Oryzias latipes: one gene and its partner. Each later gene encodes a partner of the first gene's protein in a complex. Links are inferred from orthologs where the notes say so. Each region holds a gene or a part of one and is shown on either strand. Other genes may lie near its edges.

Evidence for each region.
Region 2: the proteins of atp2b1 (region 1) and neuroplastin are in contact, whole or in part, in a cryo-EM structure (PDB 6A69), measured with the Homo sapiens proteins. The link is inferred for Oryzias latipes from reciprocal best matches to the Homo sapiens genes ATP2B1 and NPTN. Residues at the interface, in NP_001353449.1 of Homo sapiens: Phe954, Asp955, Ile956, Asp957, Glu996, Arg997, Asn998, Val999, Glu1039, Gln1040, Leu1042, Trp1043, Ile1045, Phe1046, Met1049, Gly1050, Leu1052, Leu1053, Gln1056; in NP_036560.1 of Homo sapiens: Arg245, Ser246, Asn248, Arg332, Arg334, Pro339, Pro342, Phe343, Gly345, Ile346, Glu349, Ile350, Ile352, Leu353, Ile356, Ile357, Tyr360.

The regions. Positions count from the first base shown.
Region 1 is NC_019881.2:15,513,365-15,525,883, reverse strand, and holds the start of atp2b1 (plasma membrane calcium-transporting ATPase 1), read left to right. Parts: upstream 1-6,251; 5' UTR 6,252-6,383; intron 6,384-12,519. UniProt on the Homo sapiens protein: Catalyzes the hydrolysis of ATP coupled with the transport of calcium from the cytoplasm to the extracellular space thereby maintaining intracellular calcium homeostasis.
Region 2 is NC_019861.2:28,364,370-28,376,695, forward strand, and holds the start of neuroplastin, read left to right. Parts: upstream 1-4,763; 5' UTR 4,764-5,307; coding exon 5,308-5,383; intron 5,384-12,326. Other genes in the region: calcium homeostasis modulator protein 6, read right to left, coding at 2,984-3,136, 3,213-3,677. UniProt on the Homo sapiens protein: Probable homophilic and heterophilic cell adhesion molecule involved in long term potentiation at hippocampal excitatory synapses through activation of p38MAPK. May also regulate neurite outgrowth by activating the FGFR1 signaling pathway.

The DNA of each region.
Region 1 (12,519 bases):
TTTGTAGTACATTTGCAGAAAACCTCATTGCTTTAACAGCCTTTGCATGAACATTTCCCGTGAGGCATTAACAGCTTTAAACAAGACAGAGAGACGAGTCAAGGTGCCAGACAGGAGGGCAAGCTAGGTTAGATTTGTGCTTTGAAAAAGTAGACTCAATGTTTATTTGTAGTTGCATGTACTCATAGTTGAATGCACTAGAATGCACTTAAGAGCCTTTAAAAAAAAAATAAAAAAAAAAAATCAACATTATATATGGATTAATTCTGGTTGTATTTACTGATGTCTATATGCAACTTTGAGAGGTAAACTGCGCTTTGTCAAAATGCCAGTCTGTTTTTTTTTATCAGTTTCAAACAAGGCTGGAATACACTATCACAGCTAACATGTAGCGGTGTCAGACTTTGTTTTTTACATGTTTCTAACGTCACACCTACAACCTTTTTCCAGTGGCAGTTTATTGTCTAGTCCTGATTCACTACAATTTCAATAAACAAGTGCTAAGAAATGCCATTTTAATCTTAATTTTCTTTATTTGTGTCCTTCATTTTCAGAAAAATGCCATTAGAACATGTTAAAAGGACCAAAAACAAGATTTTCCTCAGAGTGGGACTTTAAAGATGTCAGAAACTTTAATTTAACGAGTTGGTGCCCATCTTTTGAGCTTGTATCTAGTCATTTGTTTTGAAGTCCATTAATGCATAGTTTCTTCATTCATTCATCCATTCATTCATCTTCTGCCATTTTTGTCCCTTTCAGGGTCACGGGGCTGCCGGAGCCTATCCCGGCCACTTGTGGGCGAAGGCAGGGTAGTTTAATAATAACTATTTTTGATTGTCATAGGTGCATTGAAATATTTACACATCAAAAATGCATGAATATAAGCTCTTCTACTGCTTTTCTTTCATCTTTCTTTTCTTCAAACATAAATGTCACTTGTTTTATTTCTTGTGAAGGTTAAGGCTGTGACTGTTCCAGTACAAGGTATACATTTCAAAGTGTGTGTTGGATGTGTGCACATACAGCACATGCTCCTGAGCTTCTTTGCTTTGAGGTTGGGGGCTGCAACCCTTTTCCTCCATCTCATCAAGCCCTCATCTTTTCCCAGGGTAAAACGGCAAGCAAAAGAAGAAATAAGGTGTAAAGGGCACCAAGTTCCCACTGGATCTCCTCCTCGATGCCCCATCTGTGCCCAGTCCATGCCACTCTTCCCTCAGACACTGAAAATGTTGTGCAAAGACTTAAGGGCACATGTTCTTTGTCCCACTGTTGCACTCCACACATTATGTGGGCAAAGCAAAAATCTGATCTGGCACCGTAATTAAGCTGCACTTAATTGTTTTGCCTGGTCCCTTGTGGTACTGCTAAGACTTTGAGGGGGAAAAAGGCAGATTTATAGAGCTGATGTGCTCCACGCCCAACTGAACAGCAAAAACACAGCAGAAACTATTCCTAATTAATGCCTGTTGATCCTAAATTGCACAAAGTCAGCTCTGCAAGTCAGTTTACTTGTTCAAAAGTTACAGTTCAGCACTCGAGCATTGTCACACGTTCCAAAACCTTCAGTTGTTCAGCTTTTCTATCCTGTATGCATAAAGTCTGGAAACTTGTTTTTGAGCCTGAAATAAATAGCAAGTGTTGCAATACAATGTTTTTGTGTTATTTGTTTTTTTTGTGTATTCCTATAAAATTCCCACTGGATTTTAGATGGCAGTGCTTCCTGCGCACATTGTACTGTCTAAATGTGGAATCTCAGGTGGTTTCTGGGCTCTGCTGGTAATTGAATCAAGACTATTTTTGTGCCAAACTGTTTGTTATGTAAAACGTTCACCGGCCGAAATACACTTTCAAACAACTTCACTGCAGGCTACGTCTAACATAAATACAGGGGGTATTGATTATAAAAATAGAGAATGGAAAACAGCCCACCAGCACCCTTTTATGGCTTGTCTTCACTCACAAGTTTATGATCATGGCATTCTATGACCATATGCAGACTGTTCCTGTCACACACCTCATATTTTACTGGGTGGGTCACTGCTCTTACAAAGTATGGCCTCAACAGACACTTGAGTTGAATTATTGTTTGCAAGTGGAAACTTAGCCAGATAATCTTCCTGCTTCTAGCTCAGGGCAGACCACTGTCTCATTGGCTAACCATTGCCTTTATGCACACACAACTTTCATTTTACCATTTTTATTTTCTCGGGGTTAACTTGCTTTACATTAACTCCTTGTGTGTGCTTTTTTTCTCCTCCTGACTCTTTCCTGTCTCAATTTTTTTTTGCACTTCTTTCACAACAACTTTATTCTACAGGCCATTCACCTCCCCAAGGCTGTCCTTACCAGTGCCATGCAGTAAATTCCAGGGTAGTAGGAAACACAAACATGCACAAGATCCGAAGGGGAGCGGCTCAACCATGATAGAGCTCTCCTAGCTGCCACCTCCCCTTTCCCCTCCACCACTCTCTCTGCTTTCATTCATACAAGGAGTCTTTGTCTGGGCAACTGATGTCGGAGGTCACTTCATAGATTTTCTACTTGCACCATAGGTGTAATTCGTGTCTGTTTCTGGCTGTTTTGCCAGTCAGCATGGTCTGAATGTTAATCGTATAATTGGGGTCTCCTTCAATAGACACAAACCAGTGTTTGGACAGGAGGAAAAGTGTGATTACTGTAATTTTTGGTTAGACTAACACCATATTAAAAGGGTTTATTATAATGCTCAAGACCCATCCTTAATATAAATCTTTGTCTGATTTGATATATATAATTATTGCCTTGTCTGAGAAACTAGTTCAGTGTTATAGGACAGCCCTCATCGTATTGAACGACCCAGGTAAAATACTGGTAGATATTTTTATTTTTTATTGTAAAAACAGCTTTCTTGAAAATCTGCAACATTGTTTTTTTCCTTTTCCTCTTTAAAAGGAGGAAGCTTTCCTCCTCCTCCCCGACATGCACCGTTCCTCGTCAAAGCTTACAAATGTGCTGAGCCAGAGGAAAATTTGATGACTGTTCAGAAAGCAAAGTAGTGACAGAAAAAAATCCAATGACCAAAGGAAGCCATATAGTCATACAACACGTCCTCACTGATAGGGATGTGGTTGTCAGCTGACTGCGGCATCTTTATGCTCACTTTTTCCACTTGCCTCTTCTCTAGAGACACATGATCCCCAAGAGCGCACTAAGCCTTTTCCATCACAGCCATGTTTGTTTTTTAAAAATGTTGAGGAAATAACTGATGATCTGTTTTTTCCTTTTCTGTTCCTGTTGGATTTTCTTTGTCAATTGCCCAAATTTCTTTACACTATTAAGAAGTGAGAGAAGATGGAGCAACAAAGTTCTTATGAGAACTGCAGACACACTCAAGCCATCAGTTGTAAGAAACTTCTCAACTGAACCTGCAATTATTTGTCAAGCCGTCTTGGGTAGTTCTCTACCCCTGCAATTAAAGCTCTATGGTGGGATAACATGCATGCACACAATCAGTGTCTTGTGTGCCAAAAAAAAACACATTTCTATTATGGTTTTAAAAGCTTACAGCCTTTTTTAAAACTAATAATAAGGATGTGTTTTATAAGTTACCCTATGGGTAGCATCCCTTTTTTTCCCCATGGAGTTTGTCATGCTTCGCCATTTCTGCTCCCTCAGATTTTGTGAACAACACATTAGCATACACAAAGGCTAATGACACTTGACATTTACTTTAGTTCACAAGACGCTCCAGAGCATCTGGCAGATTTCCACAGAGAAACTGACTCAACAGTAAGATTCAGACGACGAGCTAAGGGGAAAATGACTGGTGTCAGCGATTTGAAACCTCAACAAGGATCTCAGACTTTTCAAGTGCTCACTTACAATAATTTAAGTTCTTCTGCTGTTATTAGTTTGTAGACATTACTCCCTCACCGTCTGGATAGATCCATTTGGTCTTAGCTATTTCTGTTCCATTTATTTGGCAGTTGACATTCACAACTCAAGACTAACGAGGCTCTAAACTGGGGCAAAAAGAGTAAGTTCTTTTAATTTTTAAAAAAATAGGCAATCATCAGATTTAGTACAAGAGAAACGCATTTTTCACTAAAAATATTCTTGGTATTTTAATTTAACTTTAGCTTGCAATAAAATGTGAAGCTTCAATTTGTGGTTTGGGGATTGAAATATAATGGCATTGTTTCATTTTTGGATTGCAGTTAAATATTATACAGTTGATCATAAAATGTTAACAATGTTATGTCAATAAAAGATAATGCTGTAAACAGGAAAACATTTCTTACTCAGCTAGCTTTGTGATGATATTCTATAATTTAAAGACACATTATAGGTTAAGTATACTCTTTAATTAACTCAACTTTTTTTCAAAAGTCTAATTATTCAAATCAAAAATGGAGTAAAACTACTACATTAATGCGTTGGTTTTTTGTGGAATAACTACTTCATATTTGATACCATATTTAAATTCTAAAATGTCTGGTCAGGAATTGCTTTTCTGTACATTCTTTATTTTCTGCATGGCTTTTGTGCTCCTTAAAAAGTGATACAGGAGGAGAAATGATGCATGAATTGGCAGGCTGACCAGTGTTATATTAGAGAGACATCTGCTCACTGTTGGCCTGGGCTAAGCTCCACAGGCTCCACACAGGAAGACACCAAAAACCACTGATAGTGAAGCAAAAAAGAAAGAAAAAAAGCACTCTCATTTCTGAGTTCTGATGCATATGGAGGCTTGTTATACAAGTGACTGACAACTTCAGCATGTAAACTGTTACAGCTCAATTTAGAGGTTTTGGGGAGCTGTTCTGCCATAAAATGGTAAAGGTGTATACAAAGTCAAAATTGTCTACCAATTACTAATGTGTGGGTTTTAACCTTCTTACAAGACAGCTATAGGAGGAGTTTATGTCTGCAGTCAAAAGCGAAGCGAAAAAAAACTTCACAAATTATCTGGAAAACTGTGGTCCACCACCATGCCTTATCTTTCTTTTGTAGAGTTGGGAGTTACTAGATGTAACTTAAACACTCAACTCTGTGGCTGACGTGTTGCACAAGTAAACTTGCAAAACCAATAGAATTTTTTTTTCCTCCAGTCATTTTAATTTCTTATTTTTCACAACTTTTCCTCCTGGGTGCGTCATTTGACATTTTACAAATTACATTTTAATTGCATATAAACTATTTTGTTTTTTTCCCCGTTTGGAAATCTGCAAATAAACTTCTTTTTTTGTGCACTTTGGTCTATTTTGTTAATGATAAATCCCATTATGTCAAAGCAGACGAAATTACACCAAAGTTTGACCTCAGTTGATTTCTGTGTATCATCTACCAATTCTTTGGATTAAAAAAAAATAATAGAAAAGATCTCCTATCAGTTTGGTTAATCTGTTGGATATTTGGTATTAACCTTGGGATAAAGAAATGCATGTTAATAAATTGATTTGTTTCCCCTGGCTCTTGCAGAAGTTTAGTTTTTTTAGATGCATAGATAATACTTTTAGCTACACTAATATGTGTTGGATCGTTGCTCAATGCTGCGTTCAGTGAAGCACTGCTGTCCCCCTGACAGGGTGACTGCAGAAACCGCGACCTCTCAACAGTACTAAAGAATCGCAAATAATGCAGGCATTGAATCCAGAGAGGGGGGAAAAAACGCGCAACGTCATGGAAAGAATGACGTCGGGCTTGATTGGACACTGAGGGAAGTGCTGTGGTGCTTTGGCGATCACGCAACCAGACCGCAGAAGCAGATCAGTGATGTTTCGATGCTTTCTTTTCATCCCATGACGGGGAGTACTGTTCAGTAATCCTGTTATTATAAAGCGACACGAGAGAGAAGAGGGAATACGAGGGGATCGTGACGTAGCTGTTTCCATAGGCGACTCATATGCTGGCTGGGCCAATGGGAATCCACAACAGCGGTTCATACCCATCCTCTATTCGACGCTCATCACATGTCCCAGTAGGTGTTGCGACATAAAGAGAGTAGGCGTGGCAAGATGATACATCTCGGTGTACTTCCGCTTTAGACTGAATCTTTCTGTCTTTTAAATTTAAATTATTTCATTTTATTAAACGCCAAAAATATGTGTTTTTATTAGTAATTCTATGAATTTATATGTAGGTAACGCGTTTCATATATATATATATATATGAAAATTCACTTCCATCTATCTCTGCAAATTGACCGGACTTCAAGCTGAGGGTTTCCGGCGTAAACGTGATTGGGAGGGAACCATCTTGACATTAGAGACAAGACACTTTGGTTGTGACTGTGACAGCGCAGTAGGCGGGATTTCACCTCAAACCAGAGGAGAGAGTCTAGTCTTCGGTGAGACTGAGGGGGAGTTAATGAGAGAGGGACCTGGGTTGCTCTTCGGAGTGGAGTAAGTAATTTTTGTTATATATTAGATGAATGTGTGTATTTTTTTTCAATGAATATTTATTTTAACTGGTTCGGGTGACGAATCGCTCCTAGACATGTGGCGTCTTCAGGTATTTTGGACATTGCATGTACAGCCCTGACCGGTTAAATCTTTTTATTTTCGTGTGCAGATATCAATGCGGGCCATTCTCCGGTGCTGCATTGTGCCTTGTTAGCTGCCATACACCAAGCTAACACAGCGCTAGCTACTGAGATATCTAGGGTTAAGATACTGACGTTAGGCGTTCCATTTTCCAACCAGCGTATCTAATCTTTTAGGATGCTCCCAGTTATGGTTTTCTGGTGCTTATGGCAACTTCTGCTGTTGTTGTAAAACGAGTTGTTTGATTTGTCAGTCTGTTGAAATACGCCGTTTTTCTTATTTTCCTCTCTTTTCATTTCCCACTCTTTACACCCAACGTAAGCTAAGGGACACGAGCTAGGCGGCTAACAGTGGTCATTAATACTATTACTACAGAACGATTTTTTTAATGTTAGTAAATTGACATTTAGCCCTAAATGATTTTTTTAAGCGTTGCCCTCCATATCGTTCCATGAGTTACCCGTATGTTACAGGAAATTTTGAGTTCCATGTTGCTCGTCTACCTGCATGGCATAAATCCGTCGGAAACTAATTTTCTACGATTATAGATAATAGCAAGCGATAGACGTCAGAGGCGGGGGGGGACGCTTAAAAATGGTCGGAAACGATATTCTCGGGACTCCACGCCTCGGTCGGCTGTCGCCTCGCCGAGCGCCGTGAAGGCACATTATTATTAACGAAAGTCCTTTCAGCTGTAAGTCACTTAACGGCGGACGCAAAACCATGTTTTTGTGTAAGTAAGTACATTTATTATTCCCTCTTGCGCCGGGGAATCTAACAACGCCACCCACTCGTACTTCACGACAGTCGTTTCTTTTTTCTCCGTCCATCCGTGTCATCTCTTCTGTTCGTTATTTTTACCGTTAACTTTATTTATCTACTCGTAGACAGTTAGTCGGCGCTTTTGTTTTTCGACTACGTTTACATTTCATTCGGTAACTGGAATCCAAGCAAACCCATTTAAGAAGTACCTCTATTTTTTCGATGTGTATATTATATATATATTTCTATCGGTGGTAGTAGACATTGACAATAGTTCAAACGGCACTCTTTCGTTATATTACTATCCATGTAACACAGCTTTGCACGCAAGCGGTTATCATGTTGATGTGAGAGCACCTTTCGGTGTTTAGACCAAGGGATCACTCTTGATCCAATTAAAAGCACCGGGTCGCGGCAGCACCAGCCCTGTATTCGTGGGGTTTGTGGAGGAAATCGTGTTCCTGTATGTCATTCCAAGACATACCAATCTAAAAGCAAGGTTAAAAAAAAAAAATGGGCACAAGCCCAAAGGGAATTCAATGATTCAAGCTGTGCAAGTCGTTTTTGTGTGCTGTGTTGCGTGTGTTTGACTCAATGAAATGACAGCTAAGCAATTTCTTGGGCTATTGATAAGTTGCAGCAGAGTACATGATGTCAAAGACTTTAAAAAAACAAAAATCCAAATTCTGTTTGATATTACGTTTAAATCCATATGCTGCTGCAAAATACTTTATTTTTAGTCAACTCGATAATTGACTCAATTAAGAAAGCGAGATTAAATGTTAAAAATATTAGCAGACGGTTTGATGTTAATATTCCTCGTGAAAATTATTTAACCTTTTTATATTTTCGCGGCTACATGGGTTTTCTGCTAATCCATCATTTTGTCTGTTGATTGTCATTGCAGGAAGGTTTTGAGAAGTCACAGAGCAGTCGTTATTTAGGGGGGTGTTAGGGGGAGGACTATGGAGTTCACTTTCCATCACATACTTCTCTCTTGTCTAGCAGCTGTTAGGGGAACTTGCTCTTGAGATGGGAGGAGAGTTGACACGTTTTTTTTTATTGCAGTGCCCTGCTCTTCAGCATCTGTTCAAACTGTTAACAATACCCCAATGTCAAGATTATATCCACCAGTCTGTTCTTTTTTTAAAAGAAGGGGACAGCATGCAGCCTTATTCTGAGAACGTGGTCAGAGTAGGTCTAAGCTAACAGCAAGTCATATGTAAACTAACACCAAAAGCTAAATGTGATCTGTTGTTGTACCATGATGTGATCTCATGTACTCAAGAAGGTTTTTTTTGTTCTCTTATTCTGTGACTGTAAGTGTTATTCCTTTACAGTTACCGGTATTCCAAGCAGTTGTAATGTACTGCTGTGTTTCTCAGTGTATGTGGGGGGATCCCCCATTTCTTCTAATCTTTTCAAACGTTATTGCAATAAAAATATAGTTTAGTATTCAGTTACCTATAACCTTTTGTGGAATTAAGCAGTTGTGATGGTAGTAGTAAGGGTATATGATCATTTAAAATCCTAACTTGGAAAAAAAGAACATTGATCATTTATGATAGTGAGCCTAATCAGTTTTTAAAGGGACTTTTTAATTCATGTTTTTTTTTCATTCACCTTCCTATTGGATCAATTATTTTTTAATGCAACTCAATTTGAAACTCTAGTTTTTCTGTGCATAATTATTCCCACTTTACTTTCATAAGTTTGCCTGTATTTAATTTCATATTCAGCAGTCTTTAGACATCTTTAAAAGTCAAAGCTATTATGGAACTGGTATAGAAAAATATAGAAGAGATTAATCATATCTAGTTAACTGCCTATATAAGGGTACGTCTGCTTTATTATTGTTGATATTTTTCCTTGCACGAAAAGAAAACTAACTGCAGGCAGGATGAAGGTGTTGACAATGCGCCTCAGATTTTTTGACACCTCTGAGTTCTTATGACCTGGCAGTCTGACAGGGTTTGTGAGGATAGTGTAGTGGTTATCATGCAAAGCAAAGTAGCTCTTATGGTAGTAGTAGTAGTAAGCTGTGGTCCATAAAGATGGCTGGGTGTCTATGCCTTTGTACCCTCCACATTTACATGGTCTGACCCAGTTCAGCTATGGCAGGCTGCAGGGGGTGGAGGCAGTCTGTGGGAAGCTAAAAATACCACCTATTGCATTAGGCAGAGGGAACCCTAGAATTGCTATCTCCAACTTGTATAGAGCTGTTGGCACACCGAGGTGTTCAAATTGCCAAAGGGTTTCCTTAGACCTGTCACAAAGTCAGAAGCATGTTTTTTTCTGGTTACTTTTTATGCCGCATCCTGTGGGTGGAGGTGTTCTTGAGTGGCAGACGTTAGATTCTAGTCTTGTGCTGCCTGGTTAGAAAAAGGGACTTGCAAGTTTGCGTTTCTCGGGTTCAATTTGTTTAAATGTTTACAAGGCTGTGTCTTTGTGTGTAGTGTGGAAAGGGTCAACTATACCCACTGTCATTCAACCATATCACACAACAGCTGTTGACTTGGAGATCCAATCACAATGATTTTCCACTGTTGTGACATGTGACCTCCCCAACCTTAAACTGACACTGCACAGCAAATGTTGGCACTTCCTTTTCTTCTTTTAGGTGTTGCAACTTGCAGGTTAGAGAGTGTATTTAAGGGAGGTTTTTAACAGAAGAACTAGAGATAGGTGACCTCAAAGAATTGGATTTAGTATCATAAGCTGTATCTTTGTACTTCAGATTAAAGAGTAACATTCCCATTAAAAGGATGTCTGTCGAATGCAGTGATATGATTTAGAATGAAAATGTTTTTATTGCATGCAGGGTGAAATGTTATTTGCTAAATTTCTTTTTTACCCTATATTCATTTTGTGCACAAATTGTCCTGCAAGAAACTCAAACATTGACAACCCTGAGTGTCTACATTCCAAGTTAATCTCTCTGAACTGACTATCAGTCCTTGCCAGAAGTGTTTTCGTGTGAAACTCAGAGAAATTAGGCTGGATATCAAGCTTGTTCATTTTTAAGCACCAACCAAAATGCTGGAATACTGTCAGGTATTGAAAGACATTTTTTTTAACTCAATACCACATTTTAATACTTGCGGTAATCATTTTGCCAGTGTCAGTCGTCTAGTAAACACAGCATACTTGATCTAGATGATGTTCAGCCACAGCAAACCTCACATATACCAATTTATTTAGTAATGCTTGAACTTTCTGAAAACTAAATTTTTGTGTTATCATTTTGCTCCTGTTTTTTTTTTTTTGATTTTAAGATGATAAACATAGAGTTAACACGTACAACAACAAATAATGTATGAATTGTAATATCTTGCATTGATCTTTGCAAATATTGAATATGCTGATATTTTCAAACACATTAGCTGTTAAAGACATTTAAACCCTTTAAAGTCTCACTCCAACCATCTTTAGACCACAGTTCCCAGTGGTCTATTATTTATGATTATGGAATTTTTAGCCAAAATAAAAAAACCTGTTATTTCTAGGACATCGTTTCTGTGGAGAGCAGCAGTAAAGGCCCGTACACACCGGGACGAATATTCGCCAGGCGTTATTCGCCAGCGTTTTTCGCCACGTTTTTTGTGTTCACGCCCAGGCGATTTTCGCTGACGATGAGCCGAGCGAACATGCAATTTCATTCCCTGACATTAGATGGCGCTTAATGTAAACAGAAATACTCCTGTACACAAGGTGGCGCTGCGCAACTTTACGCTTCTTAAAGTCGCTTTTCACTCAGAAGAAGAGAGCAAGTATTTACGCGCTTGTCAGAATCAAACAAAGAAAACATGAATATTTCAAGCACCAGTAGCTCCAACTGGTGCTTGGTTCGGGGATATTTTAGAATGCCCGTCATTATTTCTTCGCGGCAGTGTAGACGCTACTTGGCGTCTATCTTCTTCGCTGGTATGTGTGCTCAGCAAGGCAGTTTTGTGTTTGAGGGCCCCCAAGTTGTGTTTTACTGTAACTTCAGAAGCTCCAGACTTGTGTGCAAAAGCGCCATTCTCATTGGTCGAATAGATTTCGACGCGAGGCGTCAAAAAAAAAAAACAAACCCGAGGCGTTTTTTTTTTTTTTTGACGCGTGGCGTTTTTTCGCGTCGGTGTGCACACTCTCATTGGTGCCCTTTGTTTAGTCACGAGGCGTTAAACGTCGGCGAAAATCGCCGGCGAAATTCGTCCCGGTGTGAACGGGCCCTTATACATTAAAAGTCCGTCTAACTTGTGGGCGGAACTCTTGGATTGGCGAAATTTTCCCATCATCCCTCTGTTTACATGCTCTCCCCCTAGCTAACAGCCCCTCACAACCCCAACCTATCATTACCAGTGCAACAAAAAGGGTGAGCAATATATGAGCTATCTAGCTGTACAGTTTTGAGCCAAATGCCAGCTCAGACATTGAAAACAAAGACATAAATGGATCTAGTCGTCCTCAAGTGGGTGCATCAGAATGGAGCAGAGCAGGAAGACTGTGGCCCACTGAGTATAGCACCTACATCACAGCTACAAACTTTTTTTCAATTGCATTTTTTGTCTAGTCCCAATTCACCATGATTCATATATGGAAATACTCATAATTGCAAATTTACGCTTACATTTCTTTATATATTTCCTCCATCATCAGAGAAATGCCACAAGAACATGTTAAAAACACCAAAAACAATATTTTCATCTGAGTGGGTCTTTATACCATTGTTTAGGTACAGCACCAATTCAAAATAAGTGTAAAAAAAACGGGTTATTTCACTATTTAATTAATTACATTACTGAATCATAACTAGGCAAAACTGAATGGCCTTTTAAGAATGCAAAATGCAGTAAATTTAATCCCACTTGAATGACATTTAGTCTCATGCTTTAGTTCATTTGCTAGTGTGGATCATCACCTTTAATGCTGCAGTTTATGAGATGAACGTGCCACAGACCAGTTCAATGACCTTGTAGTAGTGTCCAGCTGTGAGGCTGGAAGGTCGTGAGTTCATATTCAGACTGAGTCATACCAAACACTCTGAAAAATGGGAGCCAGTACCTCCCTGTGTGACACTCAGCATAAAGGGGTTGGATTGGGAGGATAAACCCCCAAATGGTTTCAGAGCGCGGCTCCGTCTGCTGCTCACCGCTCCCCCAGGGAGAGGAGTTAAATGCACCTAAGTGCGAGATAAGTAATGGGACTTTAACTTTAACGCATATCAAAAAGTTTCTCTAATTTCCAAAAT
Region 2 (12,326 bases), on another chromosome or scaffold:
TTTTAGATGCTTTCATTTATGTTTCGACGCATCGTTTTCAGAAAAGTCCCGCTCAAAATGAAGTAGAGAATTCATTCGATTTTTTAAACAGCTAGTGAAGGAAAAAGACCTGTCCGCTTTTGCAGGTTTTCTTCAGCGTGTTCAAAAACATGGTAGGAAGAAATGACCATTAGTCGGGGTTAAGATTCACCAAGTTTATTCCCCGATACAATATTTCTAAGACAGAGAGCGAAGACACAGAACTATAGCGAAGGAGAAAAGCCCCAAAGAGAAGAAGAACGAGCACTTCCTAAAAGTCAGAATCTTATAGTGGAGTTTGTGCGCTGCTGAGTTCTTTATGGTGTTCTTCTTCCTCTGTGCAGCAGCCAATCTTCTACCTGCAACTTGACAATGTCCTTTTTTTGGTGCGTCAGCCGTTCAAATGTGGGTTCCTTTTTTCAGAGAAAGAGGCCTTTACCTTTTGCTGGCTCCAACTGCTTCGAGTCTGCAACGTTTCATTTTTACTCGGTATAGCGAGGCACACTTCTTGCTGAGTGTGTGGGTGCCTGAAGTGTTAAAACCGTGTCTTTTTGTTGACTTCTGCTCGACCTACATCTGCTTTTCTGCCTGTAGCGGAGGCCTCATTTCCTGTCGTTCTAGACAGGCTCGGCTGTGGCTTCCTGTTATTGCTCAGCGCTCAGTGCAGGCTGCATTCTGCAGCACCGAGGTAAAAAGGTCAAACTTAAGGTCAATATTAAGACTGCATGTGAAAGTAAACATTAATACGTCAAATGCAATAAAAGATTAAAACAGTAAGCATACATTTCTTCATTAGTCTCCATTTAAAATGTGGCACACCGTAAGGAACGCGTTATCTTGTCCTAAAAAGGCTTTTGGGGATTTGAACACATCCAATGTCACACAGAAAGAATAGACCAACAAGCCAGGTGTTATAATGGGCTCTAAAGCTGAAATCATTTTGTTCTGTGGGCTGTAATGTTTGTTTCTTGTGTGATTTTTGCGTTGTTGTTTGGACAGCTCAATATTTCCTCAATGTGACACACAACTGCATTTACTTCCACTTTTATTTTAGTCCAGAAATCTGAACTGATTGTTTGATCAATTAAAAAGTTTCTCTTTGAGTCCTGTGATTTTTTTTTCCAGCAGGGATACAGACTGATTTGAACAGCATGAAATTAATTAAGTAATTTTACACGCAAAAAGCATCCTGTTCTCCAAGATTAAAAGCAGAAGCTCATTTCAGAAACTGGGAAAAATTTTACAACCCTCCCCAAAAATAAAAAACCCACACAAAATGGCTTTTTGAGCAGAAACAATAAACCACAAAGGCCCTTAAAAATTAATATACAGGGGTGTAGCGATTCATTTTTACAATTCGATTCCTATCATAATTTGAAGTTGTCTCTATGATTCATATCGATATTGGTTTTATGTGAGCAATCAGATTCGCTGACCTAAAACGGATCCACAACGTCCTCAGCCAAGAATTCAACCGGCGTCACTCAGAATACCTGGGTGCTGAAAAGTGCAGGTGAATTTTTCCAGATTCCTTGTGTTTCTTGCAAGACAATCTAGTGTCAATTAAATTTGTGTACAAACAAATAAATTAACGAGAATGAATATCAAATCCATTCACCTTTTAGTGTCCTGAAAGTTCAGCCCACTGTTCTTTTTCCACATCAAAATAATACTAACAGAACATTATTAGAACATTCTACCACACTGTCTGTTCACATGTCTTTGAAGAATTCCAACTTTCCACACTGGAATGATGGACAGGTTTTACTGCCATTACATGGTAAAATAAAACTACTGTGCCTCCTTCCAAATAATAGTTTCCAATATTGATTAAAATCAATTCATTTCATTTTGTAACAATTTTTTATAGGTCGATTTGACCTACTTGCCTCAGACAGATGGATCTGGTTGGATTATAGGAATATAAATCAATTCACCCATTCAGTCGATACATTGTTACACCCTAAAATCAAGGAGTTAAAAGGGCATACATAACCTATATAACATCTGAGAGGAATGTGGATAAGTGTGATGAAGATGAGATCCTTATAGTAACATCAAAACCAAACCCTAAGAAGAACCATAAAAGAATAGAATAGAATAATAGACAATTGTCAGAGTTTTGCTCAAATAAATAATTTGTTTTATTAGAAAACAATGATTAAAAAATGATTAGTTTAAAAACAATCAGGTTTAAACCTACAGTAGTATATACTTTTTAAAGTTGTTTTCAGATATGAAACATGTCATGTTCTCAGTCCTGCACACATACATCAGATCACTGCTTTAGTTAAAGTACCAGCAGAAAAGGTGAGACACTGCACCATGCAGAAGCTTCATTCTGTGTGCATTTTTCTTTTTTTTTCGGTGAAAACACATCAAACAAAACGCTTTCATCTCAACCATAAACAATATTACTTAACTAATAATAAAGCAATAATAGTAAAATTCATATAGATTTCACAAAAGCACAAATCAAATTAAAACATAAAACAAATTTAAAGTAAAGAAAAATATTCCAAAAAGGAGTCACAGTTTGAAATGTAAATGTGGATGTAAGGTAATAATAAGCTATACCCTCCTTTAAGACTAGCACAATATAAACAGGATTATACACTATTTTCTCGTTTAAAAAAAAAAAAAAAAAAGAACGTTTTAATTTGAAGAGTTCCCCCCATTTTTAACACTGTTTAACAACAAGTGGCTGTAAGCATAATGATATGTAAAACCACACCTTTATACATATAAGTCACAGGATAACCACCAGACATCTGCAGGGTCTGGAGACCAAACAGACAGGTAACCTGCTCAAATTCTCAAGAATAAAAACAACACTTTGCATGGCATTATATGAAAAGAAACACACACACACACACACACACACACATGCAAAATCCAGTCCATTTGTGGTAGCTAGAAGGCTCCAGGGACAGAAGGGCAGGTGTAGTGGGTGGCGTCAGTCCTCTCATGATGTTCTGTTCTGTAGAGAGCTCATTCTGATCCCAGTGAGGTTGGCTACTTCTGCATCCTGCATCTCCACCTGTTGCTGGCAGCTCTCTCTGATGAGGTACACTAGAAGACCCACGCAGATGCAAATGAGGAGGACTATGCCTATAACCTGGATGCAAAGACAGCGGAGGTTTAATGTTTGAACAAAGGACGATCACGACATCACCACAACAGGAGCAACTCACCTGAGAAAAGACAAACAGCTGCTGGGAGCGGACCATGAGCTCCTGAGCGGTGACATCCCCCTCTTTAACTGGCTCGCACCACTTCTGTGGAGCTGCCTTGTCAACAAGCACATATCTGCCCTCCCAGTCTGTCATAGCACACGCAAAGTATTGACCGTCCAGGAACAGCAGGATGAGCCACACGACTGCCGGAACAAAGCTGGAGAGGGAAATGGTCTTTCTGCACCAGACAGCACACCTGCATCCCTGAATGATCAGCATCAAGGTGAAGGCCATGACGGCAGGAATGATGAAGAATGCGGATGAAAAAGCTCCGTTCCACGCAGGTCTGCAAGGACACTCAAACTCCAGCTCCACCAGCTTCTCTAGTCCCATGAGGATGAAGCCAAAAGCCACATTTGACACCAGAGGACTGTTGCTAAGTTCATTTTTCAGCCTGGCAAGCCATTGTTGTCTACTTTCCATACTAGATTGACCAAAGAATGGAGGCAAACACTGTAAAAAACCCAAATGGGGGTCCAGCGTTGTGAACACATTGGCAACAGCTAAGTGATGCGTACTTAACGCATCCAGGGGTAAGTTTTCCCCTCAGGCAAAATGCCACACTTCAACTCTGATTGGGTTCGAACAAAGGAGGGTGTGCCGACTGTGCTGACATTTCTCCAGCTGATTGGCTTGTGTGAGGTTTCAGGTGGGGGTTACATTTCAAATGTGATGTGCTGTGAACAAACTGGAGGGCGGGCTGTAAAGTGGAGGGAACTTTACTCTGCAGCTGAGCAAAGGCGGACACTAACAGCCCAAAGAAAGATTTCATGCGTTTTTATATTCTCCAGAGCTGCAACTTTCTTGTTATTTTAAGGAATTAGACTTTTAAGAGAAACATAAGCTTCTAATTTTTTCAAAAACAATTTTTTATTTAAAAAAGTATTTTGGAAACTGTGTTTTAAACATGAAACAGAAGTCTTCTGTACCTTTTCGTATATTTCTTCAAAGTAAGACTTTGGCAAAAGTGAAAAATGACACATGCTCGGGCTTTACCCAAATGGGCCGCATGAGGGCGCACACGGAGCAGCGCAGATTAAGGGCAGGAGGGGATTATGGGAGGCCATGTTGAACTTTCAAGGGGGGATGTGGCACATGCAGTCTGAGAGCACCCGGGCCACTGATGAGATGACATAATTTATAAATGACCTTAGTGCGCTCAAGAGCATCCGCATCCTGGCAGAGAAAGATGGTAAATTATAAGGAAAGCAAGAAACAGATTAAAAAAATGATGCAGCCTGTAATAATAGGGACAGAACAGGTAGTTTATCGTTGTTTTTCTGTTTTAAAATTACACCACTCCTATTGTGAATTTTTGAAAAGCTGTATAGTTTCATACAGTTTTAATTTTCCATAAATCTGACAGACTAAGGCTGCTCCAAGTGGTAAACTGATACATTTTTAAAATTACAATACCAATTGATGTAATTTCTTGCTAAAATACACACAGACACATATCAAGGGTCGGACGGAGGCTTTATTCTGGTGAGCTGTTGTGCTCATCCTCATCCTCGGCCATGCGCGCACTGGGCAGGCGCGGCTTGTCGTCGCTCCCGTTGGTGTCCTACCAGCATCTGTTCCTCCTTTGGTATTAAAAATAGACCGCTGCTGATAACAGACTTATGTTTCGGCTACATCACTTGCCGGCGGGAGTCATTTGTGCACTACTTTCATTTTAATCACCGAACCGTGACCGTGGGAGCGTAAATGCGCATCCGTGCGCGCATCTCGGAATCTTTTCAATCCCACCGTGGACAATCCCCTTGACATCCAAAGACCCTTCCTCCGCAATCCGACGAGGCTTCTTCGCCACCTATGGCCGCAAATCGGCTTCCATGAGCCGCCGGCCTCCTCCCGAACTGCTTTCCTTTAAGGTTTTAAAATCGAGGAGGCATTTCTACTGGATTTTTTTGTATTTTCTAAACCATCTGCGCGGACTCATTTGAAAGCTATGCTTGGCACATCTCTCTAGATCTTGTGATCAATAGCCTCCGCGGTATCTCCTCCCACATTCGTCCTGCCGAGGAGCTGCGTCTCCCGCGGAGCTCCAGCGATGCAGCCGAACGCAGTGATGCTGGCGGTGGTCCTTCTGGGGAACTTGATGCTGCCTTTCGCCTCGTCCCAGAACGGTAAGGACGCAGATCTGGCGCAATTGTTACTGTTGCTGAAAGTGGCTTGTAGGAGGAGTAAAAGATTGACAAGGCTTTTTTTTAGGGGAATTTTTGCATCTCAACAGAGATAACCCAAGAGTTAGTATCCCTTTATCACTGAAAAGGGTTGGGTTCATGCTTGAAGAATGATCTGGCAGGTGGACAACAGCCAGGCGTTCTTCTTGGGACAAATCTGGACTTTGTGGGTTTTGTAGTAATACGTGCACATTTTCCCAAAATGAAATAGAAGTATGCCATTATTTTCAGTCAAAATAAAACAAAAAATACCTCTGTTTACTTAGAAAGTCGCTCATTCTTCCATATTTTTTGCAAATTAGGCCATTTGTTACCAAAACAAATCAAGGCTGCACATATGCTGGATGTTAAAGATGTGTGCATTTCCAAAGTTCACCATCAGTTGATCATAATAAAAGTGGATAATTTCAGTTTAAGGAAATGTCAGGGCTGGCTGCTGGCTGTCCTCTGATACAGCATGTCCCGACATGAAATTAGTTTAACCAGCCAGGTCAACAGCCTTTCTAATTTTATGCCTTTTCTGAGAGAATTTCTTGCATTTCGAATTCAAAGTTTTTCTTTACCGTTTTTGACAATGCAATTACTGACTTTTTGTAAAGGAGCTGCCCACACGTCAAAACCCACATGTTAACTAAACAGTGTCACTGAGTTAGTCTAATCCTCTTTCACAGGAAAAAAAAAATTAGGAAAAAAAACTTGGAATCTGACAGCTTAATGCCCACTCTGTCCTTTCTGTGTGGGATAAATGGACTCCCACTATGAACGACTTAATGAGATCTGTGTTTTCATGATAGGTTGAGAAAAATTCAAGTGTAGTGCCTCGTGCGGATTTACGTTTCCAGCTGATATAAATGCCTCCTGCCGATTACAGCACTTTTTTGGTCAAACAAAGTATTCTAACATTGCAGAGACAATCACGATGAAACAATCACTTTCCATTAAATCAGAAAGAAATGCTCCATCTCCAGCTGGTGGAGAGACAAACAAACTAACACTTCACAGCAGTTATATAAACAAGTACTTCTTGTAGCTGTTTGCATCTTTGTTGGTAATTTCTCTATAGTGTGCTTTCACATACTGTTTCTTTGCTGTTTTGAAAAATTTAATGTCAAATTGGCTCTGCATTGGTTATAAAGCTCAAGCAAACACTTCTAGTGGTCCTTGGCCAGGATTAATGTCCTGTCCCTGAGGGCCAGTTCTCACAACAGACACACACACATACTCATAAGCCCATTGTGTGGTCACTGAGAAGCAGTCTGGTGCTACCCAGTCACACAATCTGCAACCATTTCATCAACCATTGTCAGTCTGCTAATGTACGCTTCATTAATTGCAGCTCTGAAACGAGGGGTAACAGTGTTTAGGGCTGAGCTTTCTTCCAATCGCATCCAAAAGCCAGAATAACTGCTGCATCCCATCTTATGCAATGCTCGATTTCCCAGAGATATGGCGGGGATGTGGGGACAAAAATAATTATAAGTGCATGAGATTTAATCACTGTCTCCGAAGCCGAGGGAATCTGTGTCATCCCTTCCTCTTGTTCCGGAAAAGTAGGGACACCATAGGTGGCCAGTTGAGCAAGAGATATTTGGAGGACTGTGAATTGCATCCGTTCCATTCTGCAGGGTTTCTATTTTTACCACAGAGATGGAGAAGTGAGAACTGTGGCTTTAAGGTCCTTTTGTGAAAGTGAATCCATTAACTCTTAATAGCCGGCCTCCTTGTGCACAGCTGTGCAGCCCCCCAAGAATCACTGGGTGGTTGTAAACTGTTCAAATTGAGACATAATGTGATGTTAAAAGAAAATAAAGCTTGTTGAGGAGATGGTCAGAGCTGACCTGGACCATTACCTTTGGGACTCACATTACTTCCTCCTGTTAAGCATGTTGCCTTCTGTTTGTTTTTTTTGTCCCTCTCTGCATATATAAGCATGCGTTAAAAAAGTAAATGTGCGATTTTTTATCGCCACAAGCCCCATATCCAGCTATATTTTTATCAAACATGTTTACAGCAAGGTCAACATGAATATATTTGGAGTAAGGCCGATACTCGATTTGACTGCTGTCACAAACAAAACAAACTAAAACAGCTAAAAACTGCAGGTTTGACTGTGTTAACTCATCTCAGTGACCAAGTTAAAGTCCCATTCCGATCATCTTTTGATCAATTTTCAAAGCATTCCCAGTGGACTTTTAATTATAGAGCAGAATACCTGTGTTGTTTTCTTGGACATAGTTTCTGCAGAGCGGCAGAGGTTCATTTGAGATTCGGCTCTGAGTTGTGGGTGGGACCCTTGTTGTGGAGTAAGTCTGGTCCATATCCTATAATCCATCTGTTTACACACTCTCCCATTAGCTTACAGCCCTTCACAACCTCAACCTATCATCAGCTTTGTACTAAAATGGCAAGCAATTTTGGAGCTATCCAGCTGTACAGTTTGGAGCCAGATGCCAGCTCAGAAGAGGAAAACAAAGATGTGCATGGATCTATTTATCTTCAGTGCATTGGCATGGAGCGGAGCAGGGAGCTAGTGGCTTGGTGTTGTAGGCTTCTGCAACACACCTTCAAGCCTTTTCAAACAGTATTTTTTTGTCTGCTCCTGATTCACAATGATTTGAATAAAGAAATATTTAGGAAAGCAATTTTAGACTTGCTCCATCAAAAGAAAATGCCACAAGAAAATGTTAAAAAAAATACCATTTTCGTTGGAGTGGGTCTTTAATGTAAAGACCAAAGAAGAAGTCTCTGTAATTTAATTAATCTTTGTCAGAATCATACATCAGAAAATGTTTAGGTTGTAAAAAAGATCTGCAGAATGAATTAACCTAAATTGAATTAATTACCATTACAGTTTATTTTTTTATTATTTTAATTGAACAGCTTCTTGAAAGTTAATTTTAACAGAACTTAAAACTGGTTCAGTGTGAACATAGACAGAAACCAATATCACAGTGTAAAAAAACAACTCTTTGCTGCCATGTCTAAACCAGTCCCCAAGCCTGGTACAGCAGAACGGCCATTATCATGTTTCAGGCAGGCTCGGACAAAGGTTCATTTGCGAGTCTGGAAAATAAACGTCAGAACTTGAGCCAAACTCTTACACTGAGTCATGCTTGCCCACTGTGAAATCTAATATGGCCTTCTCTGATTAGAAGCAGGATGGAAATCACTGCAGAGATATTTCATACTGATGCAGAAAGAAGGTCTAAACATTGATCGATTTTAATAGAGATTATATTATTTTTTTGGAAGGGAGGGGCTGTTTTTATACGTTTTTTCAGGGTACAACTTTTTAACAGATGACTTTAAATACGTACTATTTCCTTTGCATTTTTAATAGATTGAATGAATTATTGAATTTTGGCCCTTAAAGAATATAGTTACAAAATTTTGTATTTTCCTCTAAAATGATAAAGTTAAATTTAGCATAATGTTAAGGAATAATCGTTATCGCTTCTTCGTTGTGTGATAAATCACACTTTTTAATTTTTCTGTTGTTTCTATAGACTTCTCAGGTAAGAAACATTTCTCAGGCCTCAGCTTCATCTGAAGAACCACACACTGACCTAGAAAAGAGTAATAGAAAGTGTTTGCTGGTGTGATTAAAAGATGGGATTAGACAATTTCTAGCCCACACAGGGGTTATTGGGATTTAAATCTAATTTGCTCTACTCATCTGAGGAACAGGCAAAAATATTACCAGCAAAATAAAGCTGGTGACTTTAATGCCCCTCTCCTCTTAAAAACGGACCTTTTTATACTGTCTTATGCAGTGACATGTTTTGGATTTACCTAAGCCTTGATTAAAAGCAGGAAAAACCTAACTATAGACATGTTAAGGATTTGTGGATGTACGAATTAGTCATTGCAAAACTAATCATTGATTTTTCTAGATCAGGAGTTTGAATAAATTAGATATTTTTCTATTTTTGCTTCAATGAAATTCTGAAAAGACAAACCTAAGCTCTGGTAAAACCATGAGAAAAAATGTTTATCTTGAATTTTTGGGTAAAGAATTACGAGATCTCCATACTCATCAGAAAAAGAAAAACCTTGAGACTCAGAAAAGTCTGTACTTGAATTGTAAATGTCACCACAGCAGATGCAAGGCAGCAACAACAGTTGTCTTCCTCAATAGTATTAATGTGCAAAGAGAAAATAAACTATGGGCAACTATAGGAATGGGATTAAATACATTTTTTTCGTCCGACTGCCTTTCAAGCAACAATCAAACTCCACTTGACATATGATGAAATTTAGAGAATCGTATGTAGCGTTTATGCATTACTGCAAAAATGTCTATTCATGGTAAAGAAGACTGTCATCTTCTTCCATCTTTGTTAATTTTTCTTTATTTTCTTTAATTAAATGTATTACATAATATCCGAAAATAGTTTAAAATAATCCATGTTTTGTATTTTTTTATTGTGTGATTCTGTTATTTTCAATGCTTAAAGTTAACCTATAAATCGAATCAAATCAAATTATGTATGTCAACAGGAGTGCTGTTTAAACTCAACACGTGCCAACCAAGTGAAATGAAAGTAGCAAAGATAACAATTACTACATTACTGGAAAGGTACAACATAGTGGCTGCAATTAGACGGCTGGAGAAACTGATTAACATCCCCCTTTCAACATCAACTACTGTTTAAAGAGCTTTTATTGTTAACCCTTGTGCTATCCTAGGCACTTTAACATTGGGAGTTGGGTCATCTAGACCCACTAGACAGTGCTCTGAACCCTTTTTCTTCAATGATTTGTGATCTTCACTGGTGTCCATGGATTACATGAAATCTTTCCACCTTTATCCACCTTAGTCATGGTAGGAAGAACACGTCAATGTAAGGGTGGGGTCATCTAAGATAGCACAAGGGTTAGAATGAACATCCTGCAGCCGAAAATGTAGAAAATGCAGACATGGCCAAAGCCCATTGTGCTGGTACTAAGTCCGGATAAATGCAGAGAGATGTATCAAGAAGGGCATCCGACGTATAATCTTTGCCAAACCAAAAATGCAAATCAGACCTATGTAAAGCTGATTTGCTGTGGTGACCCCTGAAGGGAAAATCCAAAAGGCTAAGAAGATCCTGCAGCAAACCTAAGAGGTTTATTAGAGGAAAATGAGTTCACAAAAATCTCCATTGTCTTTTGTGGAATTTGTTCAGGTCAAATTCAAATCATCATGATGAAATTATGTGGTTTTATTCAGGTTTTTGTTAATACCGGATGTTTGATGTGTATAATGTGCACATTTCTAGTAACATTCAAGTCTCTGGATAAAGCTGATTTCTTTCACTTTTACTGAACAGGAAACTTAACTCTTTTATTCAGGGTTAAAGATGTAAAAAAGCTGGTGTATGGTTGTTATCGGAAAAAAGAATGTTGATTTCTTTAACCTGCTTTCTCCTTCTGGGTGTCTTAGAAGGGCACAGGTGTTTAACAAAGAAAAGGAGCTGCTGGATGAGACAGGATGCGGGCTAGGTGGAGCCGTACAGACGTGTCCTTATTATATCAGTACATTTTAAATGAAGAAAAGAGGTCCACAGAGAAATCCCCATAAGTCACATCACACCTTTTTTTTTTATTCATGCAGCTTTGTTTTCGTGACCTCTTTTATTGGATGTTTCAGTGAGATGGCACTGTTGTGAGACACACCTTTTCACCCGAAGAGGCAATTTTAAAGACCCATTGTAATGAGTGCTTTTGGGTGTTTTTAACATGTTCTTCTGGCATTTTTCTGATGATGGAGGACATATATAGAGAAAATTAATTTTATCATTGCATTTCTGTGTGTTTCTTTATTCAAATCGCTGTGAATCAAGAGCAGACATTGGACAAAGCTTGTAGGTGTGATGGACAAGTTACTACCATTCTGATGCATCTTTTTGTTCACCAGTAATGTTTGGGATTGTGAGGAGCTGTAAGATAGTGGATGAAGTAGGCGGACTTACTCCATGCCAACAGTCCTGCTCAATACTCAGAGGCGAATTTGTAATGAATTTCCTGCTGTCCTGCAGAAACAATGTCCTAGAAAACAGTACAGGTGTTTTATAGTTGGCTAAAAAATGGCATAATCGTAATAAAATACCACTGGGAACGCTTTTAGAATAGATCAAAAGATAATCGGGACTTTAAGGATGTTTATGAGGTGCTATACATTTCTCCTAGTTTTACGTTCTTGACTAAGTTTGTTTCACTGCATAAAGTTTTTATAAAACCAAGATATCTTTTTTCTAAAGTAAGATGAAAATAGAAATCACATTAGTAATCGGTTCCACAGTTGATGATTTCCAGAAATCAGGTTTTGTGAATGCAACTAGTTCCTAGTTCTAGAAACCTAGTGTGGCCATGTAAACTCCTGAGCTTGCTAAACTAGGTGTTGCTTACTCAGTGCTACAACTAACTGTCACTGAGCCATTGAAGCCAGTGAAAAACATAAGCCATTAAAAATAATGGTTTCCAGAGCACAGCTTTGCAGATACTTCTGCCTGCAGTACCACACAAGCCTGCCTGCTGTGGGCCTGCAGCTTTGGACACCTAATGACACTTGAGCCTTCACATTGACAATAATCAAACTTGTCTGCTCATATGTTACAAAGGGACATGCAAACTGCAGCAAGCACTTTAAGGAGACAAAATGAAGTCGCCTTTCAGCTTTTTTTTTCATTCCTTCTTGCTAGAATCTGGAGTGGTACCTATTTTTGGCTCAACATCTTGTCATGATTTTAATGCATAATGAGAGCTATATTAAGTGGAGTCTATAGTGCTAAACCTTACATTTTATTTCGAAACTTCACTTATTGAATGAGATGCACTTTATTAAAAAAAGCATCTTAGTGCTCTGCAAACACTAAACAGTTATATGTTAATAAACGCGGGGTTT